4 linked regions of the Schizosaccharomyces pombe genome follow. Changing the gene in region 3 together with the main gene of any one other region gives a genetic interaction. Each region holds a gene or a part of one and is shown on either strand. Other genes may lie near its edges.

The links.
Region 1: mutations in gmh6 (region 3) and otg2 impair growth when combined (synthetic growth defect), as found in Schizosaccharomyces pombe (one study listed by BioGRID).
Region 2: mutations in gmh6 (region 3) and otg3 impair growth when combined (synthetic growth defect), as found in Schizosaccharomyces pombe (one study listed by BioGRID).
Region 4: of gmh6 (region 3) and png2, changing one enhances a phenotype caused by changing the other (phenotypic enhancement), as found in Schizosaccharomyces pombe (2 studies listed by BioGRID, with this or other methods).

The regions. Positions count from the first base shown.
Region 1 is NC_003423.3:3,120,271-3,126,413, forward strand, and holds otg2 (alpha-1,3-galactosyltransferase Otg2), read right to left. Parts: upstream 2,179-6,143; 5' UTR 2,135-2,178; coding exon 1,016-2,134; 3' UTR 501-1,015; downstream 1-500. Other genes in the region: alpha-1,3-galactosyltransferase Otg3, read right to left, coding at 1-87; tif306 (translation initiation factor eIF3f), read right to left, coding at 2,628-3,536; cytoskeletal protein Syp1, read right to left, coding at 3,934-6,143.
Region 2 is NC_003423.3:3,116,263-3,122,384, reverse strand, and holds otg3 (alpha-1,3-galactosyltransferase Otg3), read left to right. Parts: upstream 1-1,859; 5' UTR 1,860-2,027; coding exon 2,028-3,158; 3' UTR 3,159-3,548; downstream 3,549-6,122. Other genes in the region: alpha-1,3-galactosyltransferase Otg2, read left to right, coding at 1-1,099; proteasome core particle subunit beta 1 Pre3, read right to left, coding at 3,758-4,166, 4,350-4,482, 4,535-4,617, 4,661-4,716; pdk1 (serine/threonine protein kinase Ppk21/Pdk1), read left to right, coding at 5,999-6,122.
Region 3 is NC_003423.3:4,405,458-4,412,165, forward strand, and holds gmh6 (alpha-1,2-galactosyltransferase), read right to left. Parts: upstream 4,250-6,708; 5' UTR 3,732-4,249; coding exon 2,604-3,731; 3' UTR 1,828-2,603; downstream 1-1,827. Other genes in the region: U5 snRNP complex subunit Spf38, read left to right, coding at 1-3, 65-360; U1 snRNP-associated protein Usp109, read left to right, coding at 514-530, 570-1,650.
Region 4 is NC_003423.3:1,119,058-1,124,907, reverse strand, and holds png2 (chromatin modification family protein Png2), read left to right. Parts: upstream 1-2,946; 5' UTR 2,947-2,958; coding exon 2,959-3,010; exon of another isoform or gene 3,011-3,050; coding exon 3,051-3,122; exon of another isoform or gene 3,123-3,169; coding exon 3,170-3,963; 3' UTR 3,964-4,247; intron 4,248-4,303; 3' UTR 4,304-4,326; downstream 4,327-5,850. Other genes in the region: ribosomal lysine methyltransferase Set10, read left to right, coding at 1-464; GTPase-binding protein Rid1, read right to left, coding at 623-725, 775-1,307, 1,376-1,523, 1,662-2,080; Cu chaperone Atx1, read left to right, coding at 4,727-4,802, 4,926-5,056; translation termination factor Rrf1, read right to left, coding at 5,613-5,850.

The sequences.
Region 1 (6,143 bases), 1.3 Mb from region 3:
ATTCAGCAAAAGAATTAGTGAAATCAAGACAAATTTTGAGCGAAGTAGAAGCCTGGTATGTAAGCGTAACCGCTTAAAGAAATTCATATTCTATAAAGCAAATTTTATCGCTTTCCGCAACTTCGTTTATAGCTATAAAATCCCCACCAGAATAATAAAAACCCTAGGATTATAACTGACTATATCTCGTTAAGACTTGCTAGGTTTAATACAATAAATATAATGTAGTTTGTATTATTGAGTTTGGTAGTGGCTGACTACAATTTAGGAGACTAAAGGTACGATGTAATGCGTACGAAGTATAGTTTTTCATGTAAAATTTTAAGATTATTTGAGTTTACAGTACTTGTTATTTGACATTAAAAGGTTTAAAAAATTTATCAATTACTTGCTATTGATATTTTCTATCCCATCTTCACTCTATCTAAAACCAAGCCTTCTTTGATATATATATTTAAAACAACTTTTAAATAGATTTGCTACCTAAAACATTTTCAAATGTCTTATTGAAATCTAAAAATGAAAAACATGCTAAGGATACGTATGCTCACTAATTAGCAATTTTTATATAAATCCGTTGGTTTTCCTTTGGTCAAAGAAAAAGCATTTATAACATGTTTGCTTACAATTTTAAAATTGATGATAGGACTAACACTTGATTCTTTACACTAATTAGGAATTTTTTAAGAAGGAGCAAAATTTCTTGAAACCATTGAACTTTCAGTGAGTTTTAAACATACGTGATCTAATTTGCATACAGAGAGGAAGCTATTTTTTTGATTATGGTTTACCTGTATCCAGAATCCCATCGATCGTGTATATGAATTTGAATAGTATAGTGGTTTTAAAAAAGGACGGAGGAAACACAAATTATTTTAGAATGACTGTAAAAATGAGATAGCCTTTCAACAGTACGTGTTGTCAGCAATACATTAAATGAAAATAACTGCTTCTTAAAAGTCAAAAGCCGCCTTATTTTTTACTTGATCACGACATGAAAATTGCTTTCATCTGTTTAATATAAATCAGCATTACGTTGTTGGTCATGATACGTTTGCATTTCTTGAAACGCATCCCACCATAGCTTGGATGTGTCTTCATCATAACCTAGACTTCCTTCTGGTTGCCAATGTTTTCCATGAACTGCTTTTAGATATGGTAAGTCATTTTTTCTAGCCCAAAGTCCGTTAAAAGTCCAATCAAGTGACTCCCATGGAAAAGCACCTGCTGAATTGTATGCAAAATTTAGCAAACTTTGCTCCATCATGTTTGCATTATCATACAATTTTGGAAACCTTGCTAATGCCATTAACCTTTTATAATGTGCCTTCAATGGCTTAAAGACGAATAGACCAGCATTAAAATAATCTTTAAAAGGAGGAGGAGTTTCATGCCACATACCTGGATCGGACACAGCAGCGAAAACGTAGGGATAAAGATCGTCTCTTGTCAGCCCGTAAGCTGCAAACTCTTCTGTAAAGCGTCTCCAAAAAATGCTGCGCCTAGGCTTGTAGAATAGGGTGGGAGGAAACAGAACAGAATCCTTACTATAGGAGAGTTGGTGAACATCAAAAACTTTGTCCATTTTTTTAATAGGCAAAATATCACTATCAAGAAAACATATTCTATCATATTCGTACATTTCGAAAACTCTCAACTTGGTAAACATCATACTCCATCGGGAATCCAGTAGGGCAATGTCATTGACATCGTCAACCACTTCATGAGCATATAGTGGATCGACTACTTTAACAATAGCTCCGTCTTCCTGCAATTGATCAAGCTTCCACTGATCAATTCCCTTCATGGCTAGCACTACAACGGGATACTTGCTTTTCGTAGGTTTAAATTTGACAAGTCGGTGAACGAGAAGCCTAGTTGAATTATAATACCAATCCTGTTGCGTATTTTCTACTTCGTTTTCCCCATTAGCGGCGCGTACAGTAAGCATAGTTACAAATGCCATCTTAGAAGAGGGCGCCAACCCTGTCAGTGTGTAAACTGACCTTTGTATTTCTGGACTATGATTGTATAGCAAAACACATTGCCAACCTAATAAAATAATGCTCAAGGTAATCAGTAAACACAGTCCTAGTCGTTTGGGATGGCGAAAAGCACTAAAATATAAACGCATTTTAATGGCAATTGATTGCCAAATTATAAAATGGTGGTGCTTTCGGAGAGAATTACTCTACATACTCCCTTAATGTTTGTTGGTGCATCATACACATTTTGCTTACTTTCAATACCAAAACAAACTCAACACCCTGAAAAACAAATAACATAATTAAATCGACTTTATAACGTAAAAACATCAAATGTTTAAAAATTAAACAAGCTTACTATTTTAACTATAAGAAATGTTAAGATACATGACTCTGACTTAAAATTTTCTCTTATTTAATAAGACGTTTAACCTAAACCAATTATAGTATAATACTAAATAGTTACCGACAAGCTAAGCTACTCAAACTATGTCGAAATGGGTGAATGACGAGATAAAGACAGTTGCTTCCACTGAGGGTTAACAGCCAGTGTGAAAAAAGGATAAAATAACGGTGACTTGAAAAAAGGGCTATCGAACAACTGTTAGAAATTGTCCGGATTTTTTAGGTTATAACAATTGCTTAGGGAAGCAAATTAAGACGGGAAGCAATATCCACTTGAGTACGTAAGGTATTTGCGAGATAAACTACAACCAAAACATCTTGAAGATGTGATGAAAAAATTTTTTCAAAATCTTGGCCTTCTACGCAAGGAATTAAACTAAAGCACTTCATCAAATATCTACCGACAGCAACATTAGCAGGCGAAGAACCATCAATTACGTTTTGCACATAATCGGAAACTCTTTCAATCATAGATAAAAGCTCCAAGGTTGATCTTCGAAGTTGCTGGAGATCTGTGAATAGGCTAGCAAGTCTAGATGGGTCATTCTTAGGAGCAGCTACAGCTTTCAAACCAGAACGGACTGCCTCGTCATCACGAATGGTAAAAGGGGTAGGGACGAATGCACAGCTGTCAGCAAGGCGCTCTGTAATACCTACTGGTGAAGAAACGTAAGTCTTGATGGCAAGGGGACTGCTAACATCTGTGTTGACAGTAAGGTGAACACAGGGATGAGGATACGTTCCTAGTGGAGCAGTTCCGGGTTCAGCAGGAGAAGCATATAAATTTTGAATCAGTGCACTGAAAGCATCTAAATCAGGAGAAGTAGCATACCAACCAACGACAACTTCACGAGGGTTAGCCTTGAGGTGTAAATGGTACATCGCACGATGATATTCCATTTCAACTTCTACCTGCTCACTGCTCTCATTATGAGGAACTGCAAAACAACTTTTAATCTCAATTTCTCGGCCATCTTCAGAACGTGTTCCCAAAAGTGTACCGATAACACGTTGATTATTTTCACTTTTCCGGGTTGAATGGTCAAGGATAGAAAAAAGCACTGCTGGTTCAATGACAATGTTCAAAGGACTTGACCTGGAAGACGGTTTTGTGAGATGGAGTACGTGCTTAGTCCCCAAAGCCATTTTTTAAAATTTTCACGTTGTTGGCTACTCTCAGGTAGGTAGATCTGGTATTGTTCCCCAATCAATAATAATTTTACTGTACTAGTTTACAGTCTCATAGAATTCGTTAAATTGAAGACACTATTTTTCGCCTAACTTCTAAGGTTTACCATTTAAGAAAGTGTATTTTCAGTTGCGTTGAATAATCTAAAAAATCTCCTTAACAATGTCTCATTTGTACGTACAATAATGAGAAACTCTTTATTCAAAATTCTATAACTATTTACATTTGTACATTCTCTGGTTAAAAATCATTTATATATATATACAATGTTCAAAAAATTCGGTTAGCAAAAAAGTGTAAACATAAAACCCAAAAAAGCAGTTTGCTTTTTCTTGACTAATAATGAACAGTAATTTAACTCATATCAGCAAAAACAGAGCACTCACGAACATGAATACCATAGGAAGTAGGAACCTTCGTTTCTTCATAAGCACTTTCTAGCTGAGAACCTCCACTAGAAGAAGTAGTATCAAACATATCTGGTTTCAAAAACAATTTGGTGAGACCAGGGTTATTAGAGGAATCAACCATGCGAATACGGAACTCGATAACTGGCTTTCTAATAGCAGCACTAGGACTAATCGCAAACTTGGCTAAAATTTTAAATCCAGACGAAGATATATTAATGTTCGAAAGATGTAGCTTAAGTTTACTAGTTTTCCTGCTAAATTCTCCGGCCGGAGAACTTTGACAGCTTTTTACAAGGACATTTTCCCCCAAGTAAACGATGATAACAAGTTTTTCAATATGAAGAGATGAGCCTAAGTTCCTCCACACAGGATTAGGCTTCACAAATGCAATCATACTACTACTGCTTTCATCATGCTTCCATTTCTGAACAACTGTCAATGGAATGCAACTAGCACCGTTAATACTATCAAGATGTAGATTAAAATCAGTGACTTTGATTGGTGAGAGAAGTAGCTCTGGTATTAAAGAAAGTGTGTTTTCTGAGGGTCCATATTTTACTGCATGGTCATTTAAATGAGTAAAAGACATAGGAAATTCAGACGCAACGCGAACACCCATTTCAGGAGGAGGGGTATTAAAATCCGAGGTATATTTCATGAATATATGACCGGAACAGGAAGGATGAAGAAGGCCATCTTCAGATAATTCACCAGAATACTTTTCGACGATTGAAGCAGAAAGCCCGGAAGAATTTGGGAACTCAGGGTGCCATGTTGCAGTCGAGTCTGGTCCCGATTGTAATGATAAAGTAGACAAATTGGGCAAGCTACCGAGGTTTGATTCCATATAGTCAGACGATGCTGTAGCATAACGATCCATTGTCCCAGCACGACGGGTCCTTCTTGATATAGTGGGATTCTTTCGTAAAGTATTTGCTACCCTTTCAATTGCAGCATTGCTATCCTCGTTTTCAGTAGGCGCAGGGGAAGCCACCGCTGATGTGGGAGACGTTGTTGTTGATCGTGATTGCATGTTGTTAAAGTTCCCACCAAAATCATTGCCATGCATCATGATAGGATTCGAATGTGATGCATTCTCTCTATCGATCGATGAAGGGGTATTTCTTGAGGCTTCAGAGTGCACAGAATTGGGTTTATTAAAGGGGGAAGCCTTGGAGGAAATCTTAGGCGTAACCGTTTCTGCTTGAACATTAGGCTGCACAGGTAGCGGAGCCTCCAAAAAGGATGAGCGAACATTGTTTGCACGAATAGTGGCATCGTTGTCCTCGCCCTCGTCGGAAGTTTCATTAAAGTTTTGATAAGACGAAGCGTTATTATTAGTAGAGGGATGATCCCGAATTTGTGAAGAATGATTGGAATCATAATGTCTTCGTTCGATTGAACTATCATCTATATTCGATGGGTGTTCTTCAGCAGACGAAATACTCGAAGCTTTGGAGTTCTTATTAAAAAAAGCAGTTAATTTATTAGGGCGACCATTAGATTTATGCGAAGGCTTCTTATCCTTTTTAGGCATTATGGTTTTCCGACGAAACAACGTGGACATTTTGTTCTTCAATTTACCACCAGATTCATTTTCTCCATGACTCTTTTCCTCTTTAGATTTTCCATTGTTTATGTGAAAGCCCGATGACTTAGATGGTTTATTAGCAGATGCGGAAGACATAACTTTCGATGTGGAGTTCATGAATTGACGGATTTCACCTTCAATAGGTAGATCAGAATAAACTGCCATAGATTTAGAAAAAAATTCTTGCTGTTTAAGAGCCGTATCAGTTTCCAAACTTGCAATTGTCAGGTAAACTTGTTTCAATATAAGGAGGCGTTCCTCGTCAACAATTTGCAATTTTTCAAACGCTAAAGGAGCATCGGAATCCCAGGTTGCACGAGAAGCAGTGAGATCATTCTGACTCTTAGTATCCGCATCACGGCCTTTTTTTTTTAATCCCTTCAGACCAGGTACAGAAGACGATGCCATCTCCTCTGCAACTGTTGATAACCGCTCTGCTAAACGTCTAAGCGTAGCCGTTTGTGGTGAAGAAGTATAATAATCTATCAAAGGTTTATAAACTTGCGAAGCTATTTGTCCAATGATTTGACTGTGATATCTTGAAATTTCAAGGGTTTCTCCCT
Region 2 (6,122 bases), 1.3 Mb from region 3:
TTTTCGCCATCCCAAACGACTAGGACTGTGTTTACTGATTACCTTGAGCATTATTTTATTAGGTTGGCAATGTGTTTTGCTATACAATCATAGTCCAGAAATACAAAGGTCAGTTTACACACTGACAGGGTTGGCGCCCTCTTCTAAGATGGCATTTGTAACTATGCTTACTGTACGCGCCGCTAATGGGGAAAACGAAGTAGAAAATACGCAACAGGATTGGTATTATAATTCAACTAGGCTTCTCGTTCACCGACTTGTCAAATTTAAACCTACGAAAAGCAAGTATCCCGTTGTAGTGCTAGCCATGAAGGGAATTGATCAGTGGAAGCTTGATCAATTGCAGGAAGACGGAGCTATTGTTAAAGTAGTCGATCCACTATATGCTCATGAAGTGGTTGACGATGTCAATGACATTGCCCTACTGGATTCCCGATGGAGTATGATGTTTACCAAGTTGAGAGTTTTCGAAATGTACGAATATGATAGAATATGTTTTCTTGATAGTGATATTTTGCCTATTAAAAAAATGGACAAAGTTTTTGATGTTCACCAACTCTCCTATAGTAAGGATTCTGTTCTGTTTCCTCCCACCCTATTCTACAAGCCTAGGCGCAGCATTTTTTGGAGACGCTTTACAGAAGAGTTTGCAGCTTACGGGCTGACAAGAGACGATCTTTATCCCTACGTTTTCGCTGCTGTGTCCGATCCAGGTATGTGGCATGAAACTCCTCCTCCTTTTAAAGATTATTTTAATGCTGGTCTATTCGTCTTTAAGCCATTGAAGGCACATTATAAAAGGTTAATGGCATTAGCAAGGTTTCCAAAATTGTATGATAATGCAAACATGATGGAGCAAAGTTTGCTAAATTTTGCATACAATTCAGCAGGTGCTTTTCCATGGGAGTCACTTGATTGGACTTTTAACGGACTTTGGGCTAGAAAAAATGACTTACCATATCTAAAAGCAGTTCATGGAAAACATTGGCAACCAGAAGGAAGTCTAGGTTATGATGAAGACACATCCAAGCTATGGTGGGATGCGTTTCAAGAAATGCAAACGTATCATGACCAACAACGTAATGCTGATTTATATTAAACAGATGAAAGCAATTTTCATGTCGTGATCAAGTAAAAAATAAGGCGGCTTTTGACTTTTAAGAAGCAGTTATTTTCATTTAATGTATTGCTGACAACACGTACTGTTGAAAGGCTATCTCATTTTTACAGTCATTCTAAAATAATTTGTGTTTCCTCCGTCCTTTTTTAAAACCACTATACTATTCAAATTCATATACACGATCGATGGGATTCTGGATACAGGTAAACCATAATCAAAAAAATAGCTTCCTCTCTGTATGCAAATTAGATCACGTATGTTTAAAACTCACTGAAAGTTCAATGGTTTCAAGAAATTTTGCTCCTTCTTAAAAAATTCCTAATTAGTGTAAAGAATCAAGTGTTAGTCCTATCATCAATTTTAAAATTGTAAGCAAACATGTTATAAATGCTTTTTCTTTGACCAAAGGAAAACCAACGGATTTATATAAAAATTGCTAATTAGTGAGCATACGTATCCTTAGCATGTTTTTCATTTTTAGATTTCAATAAGACATTTGAAAATGTTTTAGGTAGCAAATCTATTTAAAAGTTGTTTTAAATATATATATCAAAGAAGGCTTGGTTTTAGATAGAGTGAAGATGGGATAGAAAATATCAATAGCAAGTAATTGATAAATTTTTTAAACCTTTTAATGTCAAATAACAAGTACTGTAAACTCAAATAATCTTAAAATTTTACATGAAAAACTATACTTCGTACGCATTACATCGTACCTTTAGTCTCCTAAATTGTAGTCAGCCACTACCAAACTCAATAATACAAACTACATTATATTTATTGTATTAAACCTAGCAAGTCTTAACGAGATATAGTCAGTTATAATCCTAGGGTTTTTATTATTCTGGTGGGGATTTTATAGCTATAAACGAAGTTGCGGAAAGCGATAAAATTTGCTTTATAGAATATGAATTTCTTTAAGCGGTTACGCTTACATACCAGGCTTCTACTTCGCTCAAAATTTGTCTTGATTTCACTAATTCTTTTGCTGAATTTGGGTTTACTTTTAGGGATCCAAATATATCGGGATCCCGCATTTCCTGGATCGCTAATTTCATCGGCAGCCTATGAATTTGGGCTTCATAAGCATGGCCCATATTATAACGATAATGTAGATGATTTAAAAAGGTATACATTTATGGGCTTACTTACCCTTCCTACTTCAGAACATGATGTATACTTCAATGCTACTCGAGTACTAGTATACAAGCTGAAACATCATCCTGAAACGAAAAGTAAATATCCCGTTCATGTCCTTGTTATGAAAGGGGTTGATGAATGGAAAATTGAACGATTGCGACTTGATGGGGCCGAAATAATTATGGTCGATCAAATTAAAACTGAAGACTTAATTGAAAGTGGTTTGTCTATTGGCATGGGCAGTTATCGTTATCAATACATGTTCACAAAACTCAGTGTATTTGAGCAAACACAGTTTGATAAGGTCTGCATTCTGGATAGCGATCTCCTAGTATTGAAAAACATGGATGACATTTTTGATACTCCCTATGTTTATGAATCTCCTGCAGAACCCGATATGTTTAGCTTTCCTATCTTTAAGAAGCCAGATGATGAAGAGGATTATCAGTTTAGCGACAATTTCGATGCCTATGGTGCTCCTCGCTCAGAATTCTATCCATATCTTCTTGGCGCATGTGACGATCGTAACCCTGGACATGCGACGCCCCCAGAAGAATCTGAAACTTTTAATGCCGGGCTGATGCTTGTTCATCCCAGTAGTCTTCATATGCATAGGATTAAGAAGATAGCACGTTATCCTTATATGTATGACGATGCTAGAATGATGGAACAAAGTTTATTAAATCTTGCTTATAATAAATATGGTTGGTTTCCCTGGACGAGGCTCGATTTTTCATATAATGGAGTTTGGGTCACCGAAGAGGACTTACCCTATCTTCGTGCTGCTCATGGTAAATTTTGGGAATATGACAACACGGAGTTTCCCCAAATTTTGACTGCCGAGTGGCATAAAGCGTTCGGAGAGTTGCTGGCTTTTCATGACTATGTTGTAGAATAAAAAATGAAGGGGGGCGTTTATCTTTAATGTTTTCATGCTTCATTATTTTTTTGTCCCACTTCCATTCCTTGACCTGTAACTACGGTGTACCTGTTGAAGAGCTTAATACATATCTCACCGTGTATATTCTTACCGTTAAAGTTTGTTCTTTTCACATAATTTCTGCATTCAATTTTAAACAAAAAAAGACACATCATATTTTATTCTTCTTTAGAAGGGTCTACCGGTGTTCGGACTAATTTTATATTTTACATGGCTGATTACAATTTTCTTGTATGAAGCTGATAATCAAAATTTTAAATGTGCTTGCAGGCATCTTACAACATTTTTACTCTTATGACAATTACATAGGACTCATAACAATAATATTCTTTCACTATCAACAATATAACTACACTTCGGTAGTTAACTGTAACTATAAAAAATCTTTCTATTTTAATCATCACAAAGACTTATCTCACTGACCAGAAAAGTAACTTTTCTTCATGACCTTGCACTCCAAAAGCTACAAATAATGAGACAGGCATTAATAAGGTCAAGTCTAGCATAAGCATTGGGTATCAGTATAGTCACGTAAAATAAAAGGAAACGTGAAGTACTTAGTGAGTAAATACGGGAATAGGGTTAGCAGTATCAATGGCAAAAAATTTACGCTCCATTCCATCTTTATTTAAAATGACCATTCGAATGGTACCACCACTGCTGCCATCGCGTTCCATGGCTAAAGCAACAGCGTTCTTTAAAAATTCAACAGCCTCCTCTTGGGTCATATTTTCGCGAAAGTTAGCATCGCAAAATCCATAAATAAAAGCAGAACCACTTCCTCCAATAGCTAAAGGTTGCTTATGCAAACTACCACCTAACGGAATACTGTAAACATCTCCCCCAGTTTTTTCATCATATCCAGCAACAATTAAACCTGCACTAAGCATATTTTTGTTTTGATAACACATTTCAGAAGCTAAAGTAGCAGCTGTATGAACACTAGGGTCATGGCCAAATTGAATACTTCATAATCGTTAGATAATTTTTTTAACAACAATAAAATGAAAAATAAAACATGCAAAAAGGCTTTAGTAATCATCTAGTAAACATAAGGACTTGAGAGTAAGTCGATAGTTTATTCTAAAGGATAAACCAGCTAAAGCAGCCTTAATTTACAGTCATTCGGTTCATTCAAGGGTAACTTACCGATACATGGAAAGATAGTATTTTAGAAGATCAGCCACAGTTTGCGTATCAGCAGCAGAACCACTGCGACAGCACCAAATATTGTCTGTCAGCTGAGTCAGCTTATCAGTGACACGATTTGCAATATATGCACCTAGCAACGTTAGAAATCAAAGAACGAAAAGTTCTGATATTCCAATACACACCCATAGTTGTTCGAGAATCTGCAGCAAGTATAACGCCATCTTTATAACGGAGCGCCGTGATGGTGGTACCCATACGAATTTCTCTACAAAGTCAGAACTTTCAAAATCAATTTCCCGCAATCATACCCCTTTTTAATAGCATTAATGTCAACATTCATAGTATCTTTCACAGTAGTGGCCATTTTCAGAAGTTTGGTGAAAGGTTAAAATGATTAGGGACTTGTGTATGGTATTGAGAAGCAGCCAAAATTTAGGTAACATTGCTACCTGCATATGAAATTGCAGTATGAATATAAAAAATTGTTATTCAATTGTAAAAAGTGTTGAAAGAATTCGTATATTTTTTAAGAAATTCTTTAACGACTATAGATAAGGGTATAGTATTAAAAATTTTTGATCAAAAGTTACAGCCGACTACAGAGTTATAACCATGGATTGAACTTGAAAGTGCTCAGCTAGAAATTAACATAGGAAAGAATGAAAGAATCTAAAAGTTTGGGACTAAAAAGGTTTCTGAAGATTTTGTTTTCTTAATATTTGACGACTGCTTATATTTGGTTTACTTACGCAAATAACATGAAAAAAACCATAGCTATTGAAGAATGAAAATAATATGACCATGATCTTTTAACAAAAAATGAAGATATTGGAAGTTCGACCTGGAATGATGTATATATATTTACGAGAATTTCTTACGACGGATCTTCTAAACTGTGAATTAGGTATCATGTTATGTTTCATTTCTAGCGAAGCAGAATTCCAAGCAATATTGAGGTGATAGGGGATGTTCCAAATTCTGTTAATCGCCAAATTAATTTTGGAATTAAGGCAAGAAGCATTTCATTAACTACAGTGTATTTTGCTTATTTTAGTAAGGCAGTATCCCAAAGACAACTGGCTTTCTAAAAATCTCTTTTGTTTAGGTGTCTGTTATTTCAACAATATGTACATATATATATTTATTTATAAACTATTTCAAACATATTCAAGCAATTTATTGCTTTTTAGAGCGAATATCGCCATGGATAGCTTAGCGTGAGCTTAAAACATTGAATTAAAAAAATTTTCATTGCCGTTCCAAATTGTATCGCTTTCGCTAATGCTATAAACACCCAAAGCAATTTTTTTGTACTACCATCTTCAGGTCATATCGAAGTATCATTAATGCGATGTAAGACTTTGATGGGTATGATAAGGCTATCAAGCTGCTTAATGAGCATTTTTTCTTTGACAATTCGACCTTTAATTTATTGTTTACATGGCATATTCTACGTTTTAAATTTATGTAATAATGACGAGGATTGGAGAAATAGGGTACTCTACTTAGTGTTTACATCCTTCACAGAACACAACTCCAAGGCCAGCAACTCCACAATTAAATGCACGGTGTTTCAGTTGGAATCGAACAGCAAACGTAAAGTAACTCAAACACAACTTCATTTTTCATGAAAACCTCTTTTATAAATGATGGATCTGGAGCATAAACGCATTAGCCGAAGTACATTGCCGGATTATGCGGATCCCGATTACTTCGAGGCTAGAGGTGAAAGAAATCCGGTAAAACCTCAGTCTTCCAACGTAGTACCAG
Region 3 (6,708 bases):
CGGGTATGCTAATTTTTTTTGGGTGTTTGATCAACCTTTGTACTAATGCTATTTTAATTTATAGTTCGAATATTTGATGTAAAACCTTTTGCTTCTGCTCAACGACAGTTGCAAATTTTTGAAGGAGCTATTCACGGACAGGAGCATAATTTGTTAGGTGTTGCCTGGAGTCGTAATTCACGATTCGTTGGTGCTGGTAGCTCTGATAAAAACGTATATGTTTGGTCAGCCACAGGCGATTTACGTTATGTATTACCCGGACATGAGGGTTCAGTAAATCACGTTGACTTTCATCCACATCAGGACATCATTCTTTCATGTTCCTCAGATCGAACAATATTTCTTGGGGAATTGAATTAATTTTTATTTCATGAATAATTTTTCAATAAACATTAAATACTATTAAAATTTTCTGTAGAACTTATTATTTGACGATCTTAGTTGTCAAGCCTGTTATAATTCCTATAACTACAAGTTTCTTAGATTTCGATTAATTATCAAATTATATGCGTTATGAGTACATCTTTATGGTAATGATACATCATCTAATCTTATTTCTAATTAAACAGGTTAAATAACTTAGAAGAATGGATGAATGAGGACTATATTCGAGCAATTTTTGAAAATGTTAGAAAAGTAAACTATTATGAAGATGGCGAGTCGGGAGCTATTTTAAAAACTTGCTGCATTGAATTTGAGAGTCAAGATGCTGCTAGGAATGCTTTAGAAAGGCAATCTACTCAACGATTAATATCTGGGAACCCGATCTCTTTAGATGTGGTTCCTGAATGGCAAAAACCTAGTTACTATATGCTTTTCATTAGTAACATTGATCCAGAAGTGTCTGAAAATGATATAAAATACTTGTTTCAACGTTATAACTTTATTTCTGCTCGTGTTCTACGTTGTGTTGACGGGACTTCAACTAGCATTGCTTTCATATGGTTAGCTAATGAAAGTGATATACAAAACGCGCAGGTAGAGATGCAGGGTGCCTTTTGTTTAAAAAGATCTATATTAGTTCATTCCGTCAAATCCGATAAAAATACTTACTTAAGTTCGCCTGGGTTTTATGGTACACCTCAACCACTAAATCAATTTACTGATCCAAACAATACAGCAGTTTATGTTCACCAACTCCCCGAAAATATAACGACACAAGAGCTACGATCATATTTCCTCCACTTTGGTGAGATTTTATACACTCAAGTCAATAATAATAGTGGACGCATAGTCTTTGCTCAACGATATTTTGCTGAGCAGGCAATTAACGAAATGAACAATTTCCCTTTGCATGGTGTTAGGATTCAGCTTTCTTGGGCAAGGCCCCCTTCGATGGCTCTTTTACCTTCCAAGCAATCTACGTATTGGCCGGCCCTTGCTGCTCCTGTATATCCCTCCATGAAGGATGTACCTAACAATCCCTTTACGCCGTTTTCTCCCATCAACCCGTATTATGCAAAATCCTGGAATCATACTGCTTCAGCACCTTTGCTTCCTCCAGGTTTAAAAAATGGTTCTGACTATCCTTATCTTTCTGTACCTCCCGATATTTTGAATGATAGTTATCTGGCAATGTGTGAAGCCGTAAACTCACGTTTAGATGCTGAATCAACTATGCTTTTACCCGTGCATTACTCACAAGCTTAAGAAATTAGCTGCAAGGCAATGCATCATTTGGTAAAGTAAAAGGATCTTAATCCAATATAAATTTTTATTTGTATAGCAAATACTGTGTCCTGCAAAAATAATTATTTTATAATCCATCGGACCTTTGGTCGAATATATTCTCTAAATTATTCTTGATAGCAATTGCTTATAAGTATACTCGTCGTTTATTAAAAGGTGTTTCAAATGACAAAAAACAAAATGGGGGGTTTGATATAACTTGAAATGCTAAACTAATATAACAAAATGGATTCTAGATAATATGTTTAAACCCTTATTACAATATTCTACAAGGCATTCATATTCTGTTTATCATAAATTTTGGACTGCTGAGACCTTCAAGTTAAACAATGCTTGAACGATTGAAAGTTATTTATAGAGCATCGCTCTTTCTGGCTCCGGCAGCTCTATTTGTCTCATAACGTTTAATCAATGAAACCGATAGCTGTCCTACTTGATTCAATTACCGCAATCAAAGTTCTGCTAATCTACATTCAAAACAAGTTGATCTTGGACAAAGATTCAAAAATGAATTTTGAAATTTCACGACTGATGAAATTGTCCTCGATTAGCCAGTAATTGCTTATTGAACATCCTTTTGGATATAAAATGAATCAAACTCTTTAATTAATCAATTAGGAGTGCTTATTAATTTAGTGAACATAAGCGTCGCAAGAAGATTAAGACTGAATTATCCGACTGTATCGTAAATGCAAGGTTAAGTCATAGTGAAAGCTGGGAACCATGATCATGCTAGGTCAATTGTATGCATTAATTTAAATAAATAATAACCAGTAATATAATAACACCAACCGATCGTACAGATGAATAGAGTAAATATTATATTTACAATTAGAGTTATATAGCACTGATCATTGCATAGATTAATAATAGAATAAATATAAAGCACTATAGCAAGAATAACAAGGTATTGATTAAGGTTGAGGGAAAAGGCGTTGTTCAATATATTCCTTTTCGGATGGATCGAACCAATCATGGCCTTGCTTTTCTGTGATAATCTTGCCATACTTTTCAAAATTTTGTGCACATGTCTGAAAGACAAAGCACCCAGCAAAATGAACACATAAATCACCGTCTTCATATCCCCAAGCAGGATCAGAAGAATCATATGCGTTTATTGAACGAAGAGTAACTAGCCCAACATGTTTATGCACAATGGGATGACTATATATCATATGAGAAAGGGCTTGTTGTTCGACAAATACACCATTATGTTCTTTATAAAGTGGTTCATTCCAAAAATCCAGCATCCATGTTCCTACTTCAGAATTCCTTATTAAAAAACTGCCAGCATTAATGCCATTAAAATCTTGAGCAATGATAAAATGTATATCATCAGGGTCTTGATTTTTAGGTGTTCGGAATCCTTCAGAGTCAATGCCAAATCCACTAAAATATTCGGTGTCGCGCAATAAAAGAGAATTTAGCTTTTCATGCTTCAAAATGTGATCAACCAGATTCAAATCACGATTCATAATTAAAGCATCGTGATCCAACCACCATACCCATTCAGCATCTGGATATTTTCTAATCACATTTTTAATCATGGGAATTTTAGCCCAAGGGGCAGGCTTGTCGCCAATTGAAGGTTTGTACTCATCTAAATCTAAAAATTCAAACTTAAAACCATGACGTTCTGCATAGTCGCGGCGATTTTTAATAATCGTTCTAATATAAGGATTTAAGGGTGAGGAAGGGTCATTTTGGGCATTGGAACCCATCAAAAGGACTATCTTAGAATTTTCAGGATGAGGATTAAGTGTGCTTAACTCTTGAGCTGTGGCAGTAACCGTTGGGGTTACTGTCGTAGTTTCTGTAACAAAAGACGTAGATGTAATCGTTTCGCTGACACTGGTGTGTAATGGCTCTGTGTAAACGATAGTAGTTGTTTCGTAAACTGCATTCAAAATTGAAGAATGTTCATTTAAGAAAAGTTGTACTTTCTGGTCGAGCCTAGTACCAAGGGTAGCATTCCACCATACTCCAGAAATAGCAATTATGCTGAGGATCACTGCTGGTATAACATAAGAATACCAACGCATTGTAAGTATGTAAGAGAAATTAGAATTGACCAATCCTTGGATAAATAAATATGTTCAAAGTAATGAAAAAATACCAATGATAATAAAAATGATAGCGAAGAAAAGAAAGAGCGGTGTAAATATCCTTCTTTAAAAATTGATGCAATAAAAGCTAAGATTTCTTATAAAATACTTAGCCTAAACTAAGATGTTAGATAAGTTCAGAATGTGAGAGGTAGATGTTCGTAGGCACTTCACAGCACACACATGCTCACAATAGCAGGCGAGACAATTTAAAGTACCTTTTTAATCTTATCGTTTACTAACACCAAAAAATATACCCTATTTACCCAAAGCAATAATCACCAAGTGTCCTGAAAGAGTGTATGTCAAATATAATGAACGTAGCGGTAAAGTGGAGATACAAGGTTTTATAGAGAGTGACCTATAAAAAATAAAATAAACTTTCGACCGATTCTCGTGTTACCATTCAGTTAAGTGCTTTAGAGGAAAGCTACTAAAACTTTTGATGTAGTTATAATGAAGGGAAGGAAAGCATGTACGCGTTGAAATTTAGTACATTTCAAATAAGTATATACGCTATGACTCACTATTCCTTATAATATATTAGCATAACTACACTACGTAATATGCGCTACGTTACAGTATCACTATATGCCATATGTTGGATTATCAGTTAAGATATGTTTATCAATAATTATATATAACTATCTTTATACACATGGATTCCCATTGTTAAAATATTTTAGAAAGATTATTAAATAGAGCTACATGAACTGAGGAGCGAGATTTAGTTATAAGCAGTATTAGTGACAGGTAACTATATAACCTACTTAACAGAATACCTATACTTATGGTACTTATATTATCTTCTTATTGCAATATAATAGATCACAAGGAAAACTCACTGCAGTACTATCGTTAAAACAGATACCAAAATGCATCGCTAACTTAATAAATATCGTAATGAAGCAAGAAGAATTCTCGATATATCAAACGTTTGTGATTAACGAGATTCTAAACGTTGTAAAACCTCGTTATACTTCAATTTTGATGCTTTTTCTTCTGCTGCATTGGCAAACATTTTTCTGAAGTGCTTGGATTTTTAAATTAAAATGCAAAGCGTCGCTTTCAATTTATCGGTTTCACTTTTTATTGTTGTATAATTTTTTGAGAAGAATATTAGTCTAACCTTTAGTTTGCACAATCGGAATGTAAGTATCAATAAATTAAGATTCTTTAATATATCTGTTGGAATCGTTCTTTTTTTTTTGGATGCACTACACCTTAAATTTTTAATATATATGCGATAATTGTACTCAGAAAAGCAAATGATAGCATTTTGGAATTCGCTTCAGACCTTACAGAGACTATTCAAAGTATTCTTGGAATTTAAGTTTGCAGCTTCGAAGAAAGTCGTAACTATTTTCTAGAACTGATTTTTTATTTCATGATAACGTTAAAATTTGCCCAGCAATAACTGTATTTTTGTGTACTTTACCAATAGCAATTTAGATTTTAACTAGCAAATCAAAGAAATATGGAGTTGTTGTCCTTCTCCATGCTTAATATTGCAGCCATATTTATTCTTTACTAACTCATCACCTAGCGATGTTTCGATTCCGTGTCTTTAGCTAAAAAATTGTTATGGTATAAAGATTCACGGATCGGCCGTTAAAATTATTCAATTACTTAACCAATAGAAAGGCCCCAGATTCGATTGCTATACCACTACATATTCGTTTACAATAATACAATATTACGGTTGAAGTATTTTTAAACAGCCAATCATTTTTTTTATTTTCAAAGCAATTTTGTTTAAGAGAATAAGACAGAATATTATTTCATAGTAAAAGTATATAATTATATTCTAATATACCGATATTGTAATGACGATAAATTATTTTTTAAACTAATTTATGGCATGTTGATAAAGCCAATGAAGGGACTGAGTAAATTGTATACCTCAAGCAAAAATTCGCTAAGCAAACGACAACTTCATCATAACCTGATGTTGAGTATGTTGTTGACGAGTAATCCCTTGTTTAATTTTTGTAAAACAACCGGATATCGGAAATATAGCAAAGGGATGAGAGCGATGGTACAAAAGTTGAGGTGCCACATTGGAACAATATTTAGTCATTATCCGAAATTTGTTATCCGTTTTTTAATTCCGGATGACATCTAAATGAATTGGGAGTTAATAGCCACTGACACGTACACTATAGAGTTAGTACTTGATTAAAAAAAAGTAAGAGAAATAGAGCAATCCTCAACCTTGTTAACTTTTCTTATGAGGTGTTAGCATTAATTCTTGTGTTCAGTCTTGCGCTCATGTCCGTTACTTGTGTAAAAATGTACGATATGTCGTCCCATATTAGTAAATGCCATGAATTATCATCCATCACTGATACCAAAATAAACGGTGATGATGAATTCAACAAATTCAAAATATCGTTATACACTGGTACTCATAGCTATTCTGTTTCCCTAGTGGAACATGTTATTCTCTTTCCTTCTCATATCTCTCGTAATGTGACGTCAAATTATAATATTCGTGTAACGAAACCAATCAGCAACCAGCCTTTCAATCAACCAATCACATAATACCTATATGGTCGAAAAATATGATAATATTGCTTTAAAAGTCATAATAGTTTTGGATGAGCGAGTTCAACTTTCAAGCTAGTCATTCAATTTAACGTTTTAATATAATTTACCTAATTTTTTTTAAATATAGAGAATGAATTTATGAATGAGGGGCATATGGTTGAATTTGAGATTCTATATATCGCATTCGAGATTTAGTAATATTGTAGCATTTCATTCTAGATTAACATAATAAATCACACACTAGCATGCTCTTGACTACTCTCTTACGCGGCAACGTAGATAACGTACATCAAAAATTTTACATTCGAATGGTGTTTTATTACGATTAGTTTAATATTTCGGCAAAGCAATTTGAATTTCAGTA
Region 4 (5,850 bases), 3.3 Mb from region 3:
TCAAAAATTATATGGAAGAATCACTCCAAAAAACTTACAAACCTCTTCCAAACCTTTTGCAATATCTCATCCTTAATTCGATATCTATTTTCCTCTTGCAACATCCTTTGTTTGCACCACTTTCGCATGCCATTGAGAGTCTCTATGGTTCAACCGATGCTGAAGCATTGGTCGCTACAGATGAGCAGGATATTTTAATGATATTGATTTGTGTATATTGTTTATCTATTTCTGAAAAATTACCTTTCTCAATTAGTATGCTTGTGGAAGGGTATCCAGCCGTTGCTAATCCAGAAGGTGTTGAAGTCTTTGAAATCTTGGATGAAATGTTTTTTCAACAATTTACAAACGTATTTGGGGAATCCAAGCATTTTAATAAAGAAAATGTTTCTTGGGCATTGCAATTGGTAAATGACGAAAGTCTCGACTTTTCTGGATTTACCTTTATTATTGCCCATAATTGATAAATAAAAATTAAGCGATTAATATATAATGTACGATGAGTATTCCAATATTGGGTTAGGTAAAGTAGATGACAAGACGTATTTTGATAAATGATTAAGGTGTTTAGTGTCTTTTATATACATAGGATGATTGTAGTGCATAGAAAATTAGGGTAAAGTTAGGTTGATCCAGTTTGCACAAGTTTGTATGGCCAATCATCAATTTTAGCAGCCACTATCCATTCACGAAGGGCTTCATGTAGCTTCTTATGGAATTTTTGACTAGATTTGTAAGTGCCTGCTTATATAAATATTGAAAAAAATTGCTTACCTGCTCTTTCGAAACCGTAACCCCATGATTCTTTCTAATCCACTTAGCTGGAGTTCCAAACGTTTTCTTTGACGTTTCTCTAAAGGTAAGCCTTCGAGTAATTCATTAATAAGATGGATGTGAGCTGCAACATAGCTGGTGGCTTCGGTTTCTATACCACCAATAAACCCCAATGGAGCCTCGTACACTTGATTATATTGTTTCTCCAAATCAATGACATTAGAATCGTGGTTCCACACCCAGAAGACATTACGGCTAACATCTTCAAGTTCGATAATCCAACGGCGAAAAGGTCGATCAACTCGAACGTTTTTTAAGAATTCAACCTCTTCATCCTTATCGTCTTTAATAGAAAACAAGGAAAAAACTTGCATTGCACCTTCTTCTTTGTCGAGATGAGCTTTGTAAAAGGAGTGAACTATTTGAACGAGTACTTCCCTTACGACAAAATCACATGGCTGTTTCTTTGAAAGCAAAAGGGAAATCAATCGCTCGACATTATAAGTGGATTGAGATAAACATTCCAATCCGCGCTAGGAAAAACGTTAGCAATTGTCAAAGGCAATGAAGACATAGGTCTAAATGTATATCACATGCATACCTGAACAGTGCACATGGCTTTAACGCAAAGTAAAAGTTGCTCCAGTATAGAATCGTGCAGTTCCTCTCTCCATTCAAGGCGAGAGATTTTGTCGATTGTACAAAATACTACACCGAAACCGCCGTTGTGTATAAACTTCTCTACCCATCTGTATTGCAGTTAGTATGAAAAACCTCAAAATAAACGAATGATTTATCATTCAATCAAAACAATAGTAGTGCCAAAAAAAAAGATAATTTAAGCATCACCACTTTGATTCACGTAGCTGCACAAAATGTAAACATACATTACTTGCTCGTTTCTGAGAAGTAGAGCTAATTTGTGTATGATAGATTCATCGATTGAGTCAATTTTTGTATTTACAATATACGAAATAAAGTCGTCAGGTTGCTCGTAACATGGTTTTTTACGCATCCAAGCAATTAATTTATTTCGCTTTTTCTGGTCTTTTTGCTGTAAACTGGACACGATTTCCATTTTAATTCCTTCATTAAGGGAAAGTAAACTCTTTGAGGCCTCTGAAGAAAGAACTTGAGGCTTGATTAAATCTTCAAAACATTGTGGCATTTCATCTTCAGAAGGGGTTGAAGGAGTCTGAAAGCTCAAGCTATCCTCTCGATCAGAAGAATTAACGCTTTCAGAGAGCCCATCAGAGCTCAAAGAGCGAGCACCTAAAAGCCGTTTTACTGAACGTAGAGAATTCATAATGTGTGTAAGGAATAGTCGTGTGGTATATTTACATAGAAATGGGAGGGCTGGTATATATTAAAATGGCACGCTGACGCGTCCGAGGAACAAGCCACAGGAACATGAAACGGACAATATCGGGAATTAATTCAATAATTAGGCTAATACGCGGAACGGTTGTTCCAATTTTTAATATGTACAATACTAAGCTATGGCCCTAGACTTAGGGAAGGAAAATAGCACATGAATGTTCGAAAAAAAAAAAGAGAAAGCTTCCGTTATTTAATAAACCATACTATTTACGCCTATCATTATTTTCATTAATAGCTATACATAGTAAATCCAACTTGCAAAATTTTGAGATTACGCGTGTTGAGTTAATGTTTGATATTGGTATATACACTATCGTATGTAAGTCAAATGAGAAGAATGGAAAAATAAGAATGTATTGAGCTTTAAGATATAGTAAATCTCGGTCTATTTTGGGTAAGAATTTTAATATGTACTTCTCAATTATCTGGAATTCACTGAAGGTTGTGAAAAGGAAAAATATTTCGGACATCCAAAATTTGCTATTATAATGAAGGTGCAACTAACTGAGTAGTAGAACCGATATCTAAAATAAATTGATTATTTGGAAATGTATGGTTAAACAAGAAGGCTCATATTACCTGAACTAACATAATGTCGTTAAAAATTACAGTTCAAAGCAGTGCTGAAATTATACTAGAATTCTGGTACATTAAAACGCGTCGCTTATAATAGAATCACTTCTTTCTATCAATAGATTAAACATACAATTTTGCTATTTCACGTAGGGATGTAGTAAAGTGAGAGAAGTAGGTGGGACATACATTTCCTACTCAGCACAACGTAACGTGCTTAGTGTCAATATCATGGGGACGAGTGGAATTGAAATATTTGCAGCTTTAAATGATTTCACAGATGGTAAGAGGCGAAAATAAACACATTGATTAACATTTTACAGCCATTGTTTCAGTCCCTGAATCAGTATGTGGAAAATTCACGAGTTTGAAAGAGATCGATGCACAAGTACGAGGTAAGTGAAATATATATTTTTAAAACGTGTGGTTAACAAAATCTTAGATATCCGTCAAAATGTCATACAGGAAATTGGTGTGGTTCTAAAAAACGAGAAAAATGACGAATTGTCAGGAGAAGAAAGATGTGAGCGATTACAAAAGACACTAAAAGAGATACTTCCATATTCTGATTCAAAGATTTGTTTGGCCACAGACGCAATGAATAATATCAAGAGTTGTATCGACCGTTTGGATGCTGGGTTTGAATATGTTGAATTGGAGATTCCCCAACAATTGAGATTGGGATATCCAGACGATCGAGCTTTAATGAATTATCATTCTACTGTGACTCCTCAAACTTCTGAAAGGAGACGGGAAACCCGTCGGCATCAAAATAACCAGCATTCCCAGCAATATTCCTCTCAGGAACGGTCGTCTTCATATAACAACTTTGAAGACGCTTCATCGCCGCAATCTTCTTATCACACCCCTACAAAGCGTCGAAAAAATGCTGTTCCTAGAAAATCATCATCACCTCCATTATCGAGTACAAAGCATGCGCCGCAATCTACGGAGAGGCGACCAGTGCGGAGATCAGAATCTCGTTTAAAACAGACAAATGGGGAACCACTTGTCAAACACGACACATTAGATTCAAGTGATATCAGCCGTGAAGGTGAGCAACTTTACTGTTACTGTCAACAAGTTTCCTATGGACAAATGATTGGATGTGATAACGAAAATTGTAAAAGAGAATGGTTCCATTTACCTTGCGTTGGTCTAGTAGAACCACCGAAGGGGATCTGGTATTGTAAAGAATGTGAAGAGTTAGCAAAATCATCTGAAAGTCGTCAATGAGCCGGGATCCTTTTTATTTTCTTTCACCTTCTTTTTATTGTTAATTTCTCAGTGTTTGACATCGTTATGAAACATCCATTACCACTGCTTGCATTGCTCTTGTTTACTGAATCAATTAAACTAACGACAACATTTCTATACCTCATAAAACCCTTATAACGATTTTTATGGTTTCGTTAAAGGATACAACCATCAGCTACGTATCTCGGTATACTATTTAATGATATGTAAAACTACGGTGTGTTTTGTTTGCAATCTACAAAAAGCGGATGCAATATGTATGAGTAAGTAATATTATAATTATTTTTATTAGAAATTTGTTAGTAACTAGTCATTGAAGTAAGGAAGCAATTTTAGGCGCAAACTTTATTAAATTTTTTCTTTGAATTTGTTTTGTTAGCTTACATACTTGTTAATAAATGGAAATTCCTTCATGCATGTTTCAAAAGCGAATTTAAATAGTATTCAAAGTAATGACAAATAGTGATACACAACATAGTGTATCATAGCTTAGTGCATTATTACTGACACACATCTATAGCAAATATATCTCTCTCGTTATTTTTTTAAGGATACCTCCTTGCATTACGTCTAAATGCTTTTACTAATGGATTTTCCAACTTATCGTTTCCCTCCTTCTCATCTAAAGTAATTCTTAAAATTGGGATTTTCTTGAATTTTAAATACTGTTTTTATTTGTGTTACAAAAAAGTTAATTAACAGTTTCTTGTCCAAATCTCGTTGAATTTTTGATCATCTGATAATGAAGTACCAATTTAACGTTGCTATGGCTTGTGATGGCTGCAAAAATGCCATCGATCGCGTTTTAACTCGTCTGGGTGCGTTTTAAAAAAAGTCATTTTTTAAGTATTTAGATTTACATTTATATAAGTATTTGTTATATATGGTTTTTCAGGAATTTTGTTGATGAATCTGTGTACTAATTAAGTAATGTCGAGTAGGTGTTGAAGACAAATCCATTTCGGTCGAAAAACAAGAGGTTATCGTTACCACAGACAAACCATATGAGCTCGTAGAACAAACGATTAAAAAAACTGGAAAGGAAGTTCGCAGCGGTAAAGTCCTAGAGTAGAGCATGGCAAAAATTACGACTTTAATCATATCTGATCGGTTCTCTCAAAAATATGCTCTTGACTTTTTTGTTGTCGCCTTATTGTTAAGATTTATATATACGACTAGACGAGGCTATTTGTTTTGTAGGATACAGCGTACTGCTTGAGCCTTTGGTGTTATTTTCCTCCAATAAATTGTGATAAACTTATAGACGTTTTCCGGTTCATTTCAATTGTCTTGGTAAGTTGAACCCCGCTTTACATGCCGTTTGTAATATTTATTGTGATCATTGTTTATTATCAGACTGCACTTTCAGTCATTTTGTTGCTATTTTTTGACTTAGGAGTTTTCACTTATTTTTTTTATTTTATTTTATACATTACATAGGCACCTCCAATTCAGGCAATAACTGTTTTCTCGGTAAATAATAGATTCACATTCATTTTAGCTACCTCTAATTGAGTTTACTCAACAATTTTGTTCGGTATATCGAAAACATAATGTAGTCGTGTTTATAAAATTACTATGAAATGAATATACATCACAAAGAGATATTAAATCTGGCGTAATTGAGATTATATTACCTTTTTCAAAGCTGATTTCAAACCGCTATCAAGCAAATTGATGGCATTTTTAAAAGCTGTTTGCATTTCCGCTTCTGCTTTATAACAATCATCGGACGTCCAAGCTTTACTTTTCTTATTTTTTGCAATCTCTTTTTTTAATTCAGTTCGCATTGCAGACAGCTGTTCTCGACTATCTTTTGCGTATCCTTCTAATACTTTGGCCAACTGCTGCCGACTTTCTAAAGTG